Linked DNA regions of Drosophila melanogaster. The protein of the gene in region 1 interacts with the protein of each later gene in a pairwise test. Each region holds a gene or a part of one and is shown in the gene's direction. Other genes may lie near its edges. The genes, in order: GckIII and mav.

Evidence for each region.
Region 2: the proteins of GckIII (region 1) and mav interact in a two-hybrid assay, tested with the Drosophila melanogaster proteins (one large-scale study listed by BioGRID).

What each region holds. Positions count from the first base shown.
Region 1 is NT_033777.3:17,083,749-17,088,645, forward strand, and holds GckIII (germinal centre kinase III), read left to right. Parts: upstream 1-1,764; 5' UTR 1,765-2,049; coding exon 2,050-3,978; 3' UTR 3,979-4,240; downstream 4,241-4,897. Other genes in the region: kuk (kugelkern), read left to right, coding at 1-661; cal1 (chromosome alignment defect 1), read left to right, coding at 4,654-4,734, 4,792-4,897.
Region 2 is NC_004353.4:622,482-628,071, reverse strand, and holds mav (maverick), read left to right. Parts: upstream 1-2,040; 5' UTR 2,041-2,487; coding exon 2,488-3,300; intron 3,301-3,408; coding exon 3,409-4,701; 3' UTR 4,702-4,853; downstream 4,854-5,590.

The sequences.
Region 1 (4,897 bases):
CCAGATCAGCGGCAGGCGTAGCATACGACCCATCGACTCACTGACGCCCTCGAAAATAGGCACCTACAGGTGCGGGAACAGCGATCTGGACACCTCGAACTGCACGAACGCAAGCATGAATGCCACAGTCGGATCAGAGATCCCCAACAGCTCGTCATTTTCATTTTCATTCTTTGGCCGTGGCCGCAAGCGTGAACGCACTCCCCCACCACTGACGGCCTCTCAGTCGACCAGTGACCTGGGCCACGACGTGGATATGTCGCCGCCAAAGCGCGCCCGCTTCGACTTGTTCAGCCTGAATTTGGCTTCTCCCTTTAGCTTGCTGCGCTCGAGATTCTCCAAGGCAACAATCGGTACTCCGACCCGTCTGCGTCTGGAGCCGAACAGTTCCGGCGTGGAGGAGCAACATCTGAACACATCTACGACTGGCGTACCAGAAGAGGTTGATGTGGAGGAGGAACAACCGGCCGAAGACGTGACCGTTGGTCAGGAGGCCGGAGCGGAGGAAATCCCCGCCAAGAAGGATGTCGAGGATAAGAACGTCAATGGCCAGGATGGCGACAAGGAGTCCAGCGATGGAGAAAACATTGACCCTGTTGTAGAGGTGGCTGATGTTGCCGCGGTCGCTGCCGAGGGCCGATCCATCTGCTCAATTATGTAATACAACAGGCCAGACCACATAATACCCTTCCCTTAGTTGATAAGATTGTCTTAGCATATCTGTTTCACCCTCTTTGGTAATTTATGTTCTGACGTAAAGTAACATGTTAAGAGAAAGTTTTATAGCTAGGACTCGTCGGGTCGTTTTTCGTCAGGAAAATCACCGTTCTGTCACAGATTCCTTGCTGGTTGTCTCCTCGCGAACTCCCGGGTCGCAGACAACCACCGACGAATCTGACGATCTGTACCCAGGCAAAAGTGGGTACCAACCGTAGAAAACCCATACTTGTAGTAATCTGTTTAAGAAATTTTTATATAAAACACATATTTGTGAAAGTCTTTTCGCCGAGTTCATGTATTGTTTCGCTATATCAAAAGAAAAAAAGAAAAATGTAACACATTTCATAAATAAAGTACATTAAAACGAAATATCTGAATTTTTGGTGTATGCATGGGTATTGAAGGCACTGCGATTTTCTTTTTCAGATATAAGTAACTTATGTGTTTTATGTATTAAAATAACCCATCAATTGCGATATTAAGCTTAAAGAAAATTATTTTGAATGATGTGAAATTGAATCCTTAGTGATGGCGAAAAAATCATTTTAGTTGCATCGTTTGGAAACCAGTTGTTTTTATTTATACTCGATAACTACATCCATTTACAATAAACTAAAAATGAGGGACTCGATGTAAATTCATTCTGCAACATTAAGTTTTTAGCGGGTATCGATGCAACGCTTTCCAATATTCAATATTATGTGGCAACGCTGCCAAATGGGTTTTGTAATTACAGAAGTGGGTAAAGAAATAAAATAGTTAACATCTAATATTTATATATTGTAAGCTTTGACACAAGTCGAATAGGAAAATAAATGAATAAGTTAATCTTATTTAAGCTTTTCGGAACTGCTAACGAGTTAAATAATCTTAGGGAAATTAATAACTATTATATTAGTGAAAGAATAAGAATTGCTCTGCCAGAGTTAAGAAAATACATACGAATCGTGAAATAAATATTATTACAATTAAAATAAAAAATTAATTTTAATATTTATTTTTCGGCTGGCGGCTCTAATCAACAGCTGGAAAGATATCGATATCGACAGGAGAATATCGATATTCAATCGGTATTCGATACTGCTGCGATACAGCAAAAAAAAGAGAGATTTCTCGGATTAGATGAGATACCAACGAAAAAATTATTAGTCAAGTGCCCCCGCAGAGTAGTTCAGCCACCAAATAGCCCGCAGAACAGTTCAGTCCAGTTGGGTCCAACACAAGCCAGTCGAGAGCCAGCGGAGTAACAAGGAAACCCGTGAATCCAGAAGGAGGTGGAGGAGGAGAGCCAGAAGCCACGAAGTGGGAAGTAGAAACCAGATAGGAAACATGTCCTGGACGGAGAAAGTCGATCCAGAGCTCATCTTCACCAAGCAGGAGCGCATCGGCAAGGGCTCCTTCGGCGAGGTGTTCAAGGGCATCGACAACCGCACCCAGCAAGTGGTGGCCATCAAGATCATCGATCTGGAGGAGGCCGAAGATGAGATCGACGACATCCAGCAGGAGATCATGGTGCTGTCGCAGTGCGACTCGCCGTACGTGACGAAGTACTATGGCAGCTTTCTTAAGGGCACCAAGTTATGGATCATCATGGAGTACCTGGGCGGTGGATCCGCCTTGGACCTCATGAAGGCCGGCTCCTTCGAGGAAATGCACATCGGGATCATATTGCGCGAAGTGCTTAAGGGCCTGGACTACCTGCACTCGGAGCGCAAGCTGCATCGCGACATCAAGGCGGCCAATGTTCTGTTGAGCGAACAGGGCGATGTCAAGCTGGCGGACTTTGGAGTCGCTGGCCAGCTGACCAACACCACATCCAAGAGGAACACCTTCGTGGGCACGCCCTTTTGGATGGCGCCCGAGGTGATCAAGCAGTCACAGTACGATGCCAAGGCGGACATCTGGTCGTTGGGCATCACGGCTATCGAACTGGCCAAGGGTGAGCCGCCCAATTCGGAGCTGCATCCGATGCGCGTGCTCTTCCTCATCCCCAAGAACAATCCACCCCAGCTGACGGGCAGCTATACCAAGTCTTTTAAGGACTTTGTGGAGGCCTGCCTAAACAAGGACCCGGAGAACAGGCCCACGGCCAAGGAGCTGCTCAAGTACCCGTTCATCAAGAAGGCCAAGAAGAACGCCTATCTGATTGACCTGATCGACCGCTTCAAGAAGTGGAAGGTCTCCAAGGGCGACGAAAGTGAGACGGAGTCTGAGAACTCTGACTCGGACTCGGACGCCAAGCAGGGCGGCAGCAGCCAGGATGAGCCCTGGATCATGACCGTCAAGGGCCTGCATATCAACAGTGCTCCGCGGGCGGGTGTCAACAGCTTCCAGTTGCAGGAGCACGAGCTAACCATGCAGAAGCTGATGCAGACCACACACTCGCCAGCCGGCGGTGGTGGCGTGCAAGCGTCCCCTGCTGCAAATGCATTATCGTCCTCTGTGTCCGCCGTGGCGGCGTCAGCTTCCTCCGTATCGGTCATTACAGCCAACGAAGGTGTCTCCTCTGCATCCGCCCTGCCCCCCCAGAACAGTCACGTCCACAACCACAACCACAACAACATTAACAACAATAACATCAGAAACTTGAGCAACAAGCATGCCACCACCACCATGCTGAACGCAGCTCCTCCGCCGAGCAGCGTCACAAGCTCGTCGTCGGCCAGTGAGCTGCAGCAGAAGCGTTCCAGCTCGAAGCCGGAGCTGCGCCAGTCGCGATCCGCCGCCCCTCTGGATCAAGTAGAGGATCGCCGTGCCTCTTTGGGCCTGCCATTGCAGTCGTCGGTTCCGACTCCATCGACGGCTGAGCAGCAGCAACAGCGCCGCAGCAGCCAACGTGAATCATTCCATGCAAATAACGCCGCGCTGGTTGCCAGCTGCAGCAGCAGTAGCAACAACCACAGCCACGAGGAGCATGTGGCCACCAACCATGCCAGCCATGTCAAGCACTCTGGGGCGGGACAACGCCTAGTCCAAACGAACAGCGCCTGTCTGAACAACTTCCTCTTCCCCGTGCTGAGCGACATCCAGCGAAAGTACTCCGGCGGAGGATCTGCAGGAAGCGGAGGATCAGGCGGCCGTAACATAGGCGTCGGCAGCGACATCGGCGACCTGAAGTCTGTGTTCGAGCTGGCCGAACGTTCCAGTCCGGGAGTGAGCGACCTATTTATGAAAGAGCTGATCCACATGCTCGTTCCTGGTTACTCGGAGACGCGAATCAATACGATCATGGACCGCGCCATACGCAACCGCAAGTAGCTGGCGAAGCCGTAGCAAATTCCGATTCCAAGCAGCCTATTTTAATATATACACAACTTTATTAACGACACCGAGACAACACAAACTGAAACGCTGGAGCAGACATATTCCGACATTTAGTGGCCAACAGAGGACCGGGAGCGATGTACATGTATTTCAATTGAACAGTTATTTAAGCATATAATATGTATTCGTTTGTTTATCTGCAATATTAATCTAATGTAAAACATATATAACTTCAAAATAAAAACCCCACAAAAATAAACAATTCGATTTTGGCGCGCTAATGCGAACTTGGCATCATTGGTGACTCCGAGTATTCATTTGATCTGGCAACGCTGGACGCTAGCGAAAAATGCAGTAAATAAAAAAATAAATAAATTGAATAAACAGGATATCGTTAAATAAATAATAATTATAATCAAAAAGCCGTGCAAATAGAACATCAAAACGACCTTATTGGAAATGAGGAACCCAAGTTTTCTATTTGTTTTATATAAATAAAAATGGGACGTGTTTAGTTAAGTCGCGTTTTGGTGTATTTTTTGGCGCCTTGGAGACGGTAACACCAGTGGCAACGCCATTTTTGTTGACTCTTTATTTTTGTGTTTTAAGATTTCTTTTAGTTTTTATAAATTTTAATCAAGTATTCCGTGAACTGATAACTACATAACCATGGCGAATGCGGTGGTGGACGAGGAAACACTGGAGGCAATGGTCTACGAGCGCTCTAAGGCCTGGTCCAGTAAAATGGCGGTGAGTCCGTAGAAACCCAAGTGGCGTCTCTTCTTGATGGACGATATTGTTTTATAGGATTTTGCCAGCCTGGAAGACGGCATGGAAATAGATGTGGCCGAGTTCGACAACTTGTTCCACGGCGAGGACGAGGACCCCGACCTGGATGACGTGGCAAAGGAGG
Region 2 (5,590 bases), on another chromosome or scaffold:
AGGCAGAAGTGCCGCTATAAATATTTGAATATGAAATTGTAGTTTAGTTTTAAACACAGCTCAAAAGTGATCAGTCGTATTCTGATGCACTTAATAAAGAATAATAATTATTATTTGTCTTAACTTAATAAGTGCTTAATTTATATACTTTATATGTATGGTCGGAAAAGCTTCCTTTTGCTTTACGAGCAAAGGTCATAGCGATGTGGAAAATTAGATTAAGATTGACGAAGTGGTCATCATTTTGCTCTACAAAATATCGCACTTACGTTAATCACATTGAGACAAGTTTTTTACAATCACTTTGTAAACCTCCCAATTCAAAACGCATCCGTTTGCATCCCGGAAAGGCTTCAGGGTGTTTTCCGAAATTAATATTTCTAGGATATTTACATATATTTATTACAAAGCTTTCGTGAACTTCACTCAGTAATGTTTCTTAAATACGTTTAGAAATCGACCACACGGATGCTTTTGAATGTCTTATATCTAAACAGCAGGAAAAGTTCCCAAAGAATATAAAAAATAAATACATTAAGTAATTCAGTTTTTATTTTATTGAATATTTTTTATATACATATTTATGAATAATGTACATATATATGTAATGTACCTGAAAAACATTTCTCAGACACCAGAAAACCAAAGACCCTAGAATAAGAATTCTAGTGTCTTTGAGAAAACTCTGACGATTCAAAATGTAAAATGCAAGTTAAGAGAAACAAAAATACAGAGAGGAAAAAGTGCTAGGCGCTTCTTTGTTCTTTTACTATGTCTTTTGTCATTTATTATTCCTAAGTACCGTTTGATCAGCAATTTGCCTGCCTTGCTTACTATGGAGTTCAAAAATATAGGGTCAGGAAACATAAGCACAGACTAGAATCTTATCCGAATAGTCTAGCTAGACGACTAAGTATCGCAGCCCAAAGCCATCGGAGAATAACGAGAAGAAGATTGAAACGCCACCACCCTCAAGACCTGACTAACCGAGACTTCACATAAAACTTACTTAATTATAATCTTCTAAATATTATAGCCTCACATTCCACTTCTTGAATACTCATAATCATATAATCTTTGTAAATAACTTAGATATTCAGATTCGTTTAAATTGATACCGATTAGATTAAGTTGTCTAAGAAGTACGCTGGTCAATTAAATAATTTCGTTTAACAAATTTAATAAAAAAAGGAAACATAAATGTACACACTTTTCGAGAAAATATTTTATGTATAAGAAATCCCTATTCAATAATTTAAGGTATTTTAGAAAATATATCAATATTCAATATTTAAATACGAGTAAAAAAATCAAAATATAATTTAAAAAAGATAATAGTATTCTGCTACAACTATGCTTAGGGAAAACATAGTTTTTGGTTGTACCTGAACATGCGCGATTGGAAATATGAGCCATATGCCACCTTAGGGTTTTTAAACCAGTTACTCGAAAACCATATAACAGACAGAAGGAAACGTTTTCGAGCAAATCAGGATCAATAGCCTAGTCGAACTGTCTGTGTCCGTCTGTCCGTATGAAGGCCTCGATCTCAGGAACTATAAAAAATAGAATGTTGCGATTAAGAATGCAACTTCTAGAGACAGAAGCAGAGCAAGTTTGCCACGCCCTAAAACCGCCCAAAACTGCCACGCCCACACTTGTGCATTTTTTTTATACTTTTAGTTTTGTAAATTTCTATTGATTTGTCACTTGTCTTGCCAATCTCTATAGGTACACCAAAAACACTTTGCCATGCCCCACACTTTCGAACAATTCGAAACAATTTTTTCTCCGAATCCGATCTGGTTATGGGAAAGGGAGCAAAGCCTATCCTGGGAATGCACGGCGGGCGGAGTATAATCAAGCAAGATGTAAGGGATGTTGCATGTGAATACGCCTGTACACAGGTACACACAACGCAACACCCAGAAAATCTTGTGTTTGTAAGACGTGCATGAGTCCACTGCAGATGTGTGGGTGTGTGTGGGGGTATGAGACTAATGTTCATATTGCTGCTGTTAAGTAAGCATTTGCTGTGGGTATTTTAGTCGAATTTGAAGCAATGTCCGAACAGGTTCCGTATCGATGTGTACAAGAATGTTAATGAGAGTGCGACCGAGACGAAAATATATACACATTTTCGAGGAACTGTGATCATTTATTTACTTTACCGAAAGAAATTTTTTGTTTCTTTAAATTAAGTGCCGTAAACGAAATCCCGAAAATAAGATCAATGCAATCAACAAACTCGTGCAGATTTAACCTAATAAGTAATGGTGTGGATGTGAACATTTTTACAGAGATTCTGAGCCTACATACATATGTAGATACTTGCCAACGTTCATTAGTATGTATATACATATGTAGGCATGCGAATGTGTAATTTTGAAGAAGAGTACATACTGGAAGATTGATCGACTGGAAGAACGATAATCATTTTTATAATTGACATTAGCAAAGGAACCCTAATGGCCATGCGGAGAAAACATGATAATAGACATTAATCCAAACTTAACGCCAAAAAAGGAAACAGCTGTGTGGTGCGACTCTTTTCAACATAAATGTAAAGTTAGTAACCGTACAATAAAAATATTTCCATCGCTTTTGAACAAGTCCAACTGGATCGTTAGTATTTTGTGGCATATTTGTGTTCACCATACCATAACTATAAGAAACTCTAAAGCACGAGAACCTCCTTGCAAACATCCGCCTATTACTGATAATGCTGAGGCTAAGCTCACCCTAGTTTGTAGTAGGTCACTAAAGCTTTACAAAATATGGTTTATATTGATTTTATTGATGTCAACTCAGCATCAAGTCAGTGGCCATGGCATATTCCGCCAAACGTCAAGTTCAAAAGCAGTATTTTCATACTATCAGCCTAAAGAAAATATTACATTTACCAATTTGCAGCTTCAAAATTTAGAAAATGAAGCTAAGAGACTAGAAACAAATCAACATCCAATAATCCGAGCCAAATCAACTCCGAAAATGGGTCTTAAAAATGTATTTGAAAGCTTTAGCAAACAAAGCAGAGACTCAATCTACAATGCCAGTTCAAATAAATATAGTCTGATTAATGTAAGCCAGTCAAAAAACTTTCCTCAATTATTCAATAAAAAATTGTCAGTTCAGTGGATAAACACCGTACCAATTCAAAGTAGGCAAACGAGGGAAACTAGGGATATCGGCCTAGAAACTAAGAGGCATAGTAAGCCATCAAAAAGAGTAGATGAAACCAGACTAAAGCACCTCGTTTTGAAGGGCCTTGGAATTAAAAAACTACCAGATATGAGAAAGGTAAGATTTAAATTACAGCTATTGTCACGTCCTGTAAAAGAAAGCTGTGCAGTGTTATGCCAAACCGTATACAGAAGGGTCCACCTAAAGGATATTATTTATTTACAGGTCAATATAAGCCAAGCTGAATATTCCAGCAAATATATAGAATACTTAAGTCGCCTAAGAAGTAACCAGGAGAAGGGCAACAGCTATTTTAACAACTTCATGGGAGCTTCCTTTACAAGAGACCTACATTTTCTAAGCATTACCACAAACGGATTCAATGATATAAGCAACAAACGATTGCGCCATAGAAGGTCGCTTAAAAAAATTAACAGATTAAACCAAAACCCAAAAAAGCATCAAAATTATGGAGACCTACTACGTGGCGAACAGGATACAATGAATATTCTTTTACACTTTCCATTGACAAATGCACAAGATGCAAATTTTCACCATGATAAAATCGACGAGGCCAATGTTAGGCTTATGCTTCTCTATAGTTCATCGTTGGCAACAAATTTCCGACGAGGGCCAGGATCTAGGAAAAATAAGATCAGTCAAATTTCCGGGAATGATAACATCGAAAGGCACTGTAATTTTGGTGATGTCAATTTGAACCAATCTAACAAAAATAGTAGCCAGCAATTAACTTTAAAAGTATATCAACTTCTTTCAGCGAATAGACGAAGAAAGATAACGTCTCGTAAAATTGAATTTGGAAATGTTGGCTTCCAAGAAACTCGAACACAGTGGATAGAATTTGACGTGACCAAAGCTGTTCGTAGTTGGTTGAACAAAAGCCATGAAAACTTGGGGATAGAAATTCAATGTGATAAATGTAAAAGTATAGGGGCTCGTATATTGAGTGATTTCAGCCCGTCAACACCACCACGCTCGACCGCCTCAAGCGACGAACACTTAAACCTCATGCCAGTTCTTAATATAATTGGACACGGAACGCTGAATTCCCAACAGCACGGCGACGCGGATATTCACCAAATCATGCTGACCAATAATAGAAGCGATCAATACGTGCATCACCGTTCAAACCATGATAGCACCTGGAGAAAAGATAAGTGGACCAACAACTGTTACAAATTGCACCAACGATGTTGTAGAAATCAATTGGATGTTGCCTTTAAGAGCATTAAGGGATTCGAATTCATTTTACAGCCGAAGGTATTCGATGCAGGGTACTGCCACGGAAGATGTCCACCACGTCACAATCCCGCCCACCACCACGCCCTACTGCAAAGTCTGATATGGCAAGAAGATCACAAAAGAGCCCCCCGTCCATGCTGTACTCCTTCAAAGCTTGAGATGCTTGAAATATTGCATGTTGACGAAAACCACAGCGACAAACTCAAAATTTCGACATGGAGTGATATGCAGGTTGTAGAATGTGCCTGTTCGTAAAAAAAACTTTCTCTAACGAATTATTCTTACATACATATTCTATTATTCGTTTTTAAGTTTTGTTTCTCATTTGGTTCAAATTTTGTGAATTTTTAAACATGTAACAATGCTGAATAAATAGAAATATTTTTTGTTCGTATAGCGGCATTTACAAATTGTGTGTTTTATTACCGCTATTGCACTAATGACTTTTGGCGAATTCCTTGAGGGAAGATAAAGACGTTTAGATGTAGAAGGCAGTCAGTCCTATGCAAAAACCAGTGATGCGCAGGAATCACTAAAAGCTGCATGATTGCAGTCCTGATAATATGAGAAAGAGGTCTCGAAAAGCGTGGTTAGAATGATTTGGTTTTTGCTAATCGTAAAAACAAAATGACTACTTTAACAAATCGAAAAGAAATCTCAGTACATCAGGCGCACATTGATTTTCCTGTCGAAGTTTGGGGAGCGCATAGGAAAAGTACTAGTTTTTTTCACGTGAATATAAAAAAATGTGGCTAGGTACATTGCATCAAACGGCTTTTTATAGTGTTCAACAAAAATCCAATAGTTTGTATTTTTTGAAAATATAAGGAAATTGATTATATACAATCCAAAGACGAAAGAAAAAATTGTCTGCACTGATGCACTTGTTTGTTTGATTATTAATTATTAAGAATATGTATATAAATGTTCTAACATAGATATGAACGTTATTTATTTAAATTGATTGAATTAACAATTTGATGTAAAATTAAAATACAAAAACAAAATAAAAAAAACTACATCTAAATATATTTTTGAAAATAAACTTACATTATTTTTAACATTCTTATCCTTATATAGACGAAGTTATAAATTAAGACGCAAGACAAAGGTATGTATGTTCGTATGTAACAGGCAAATGGAA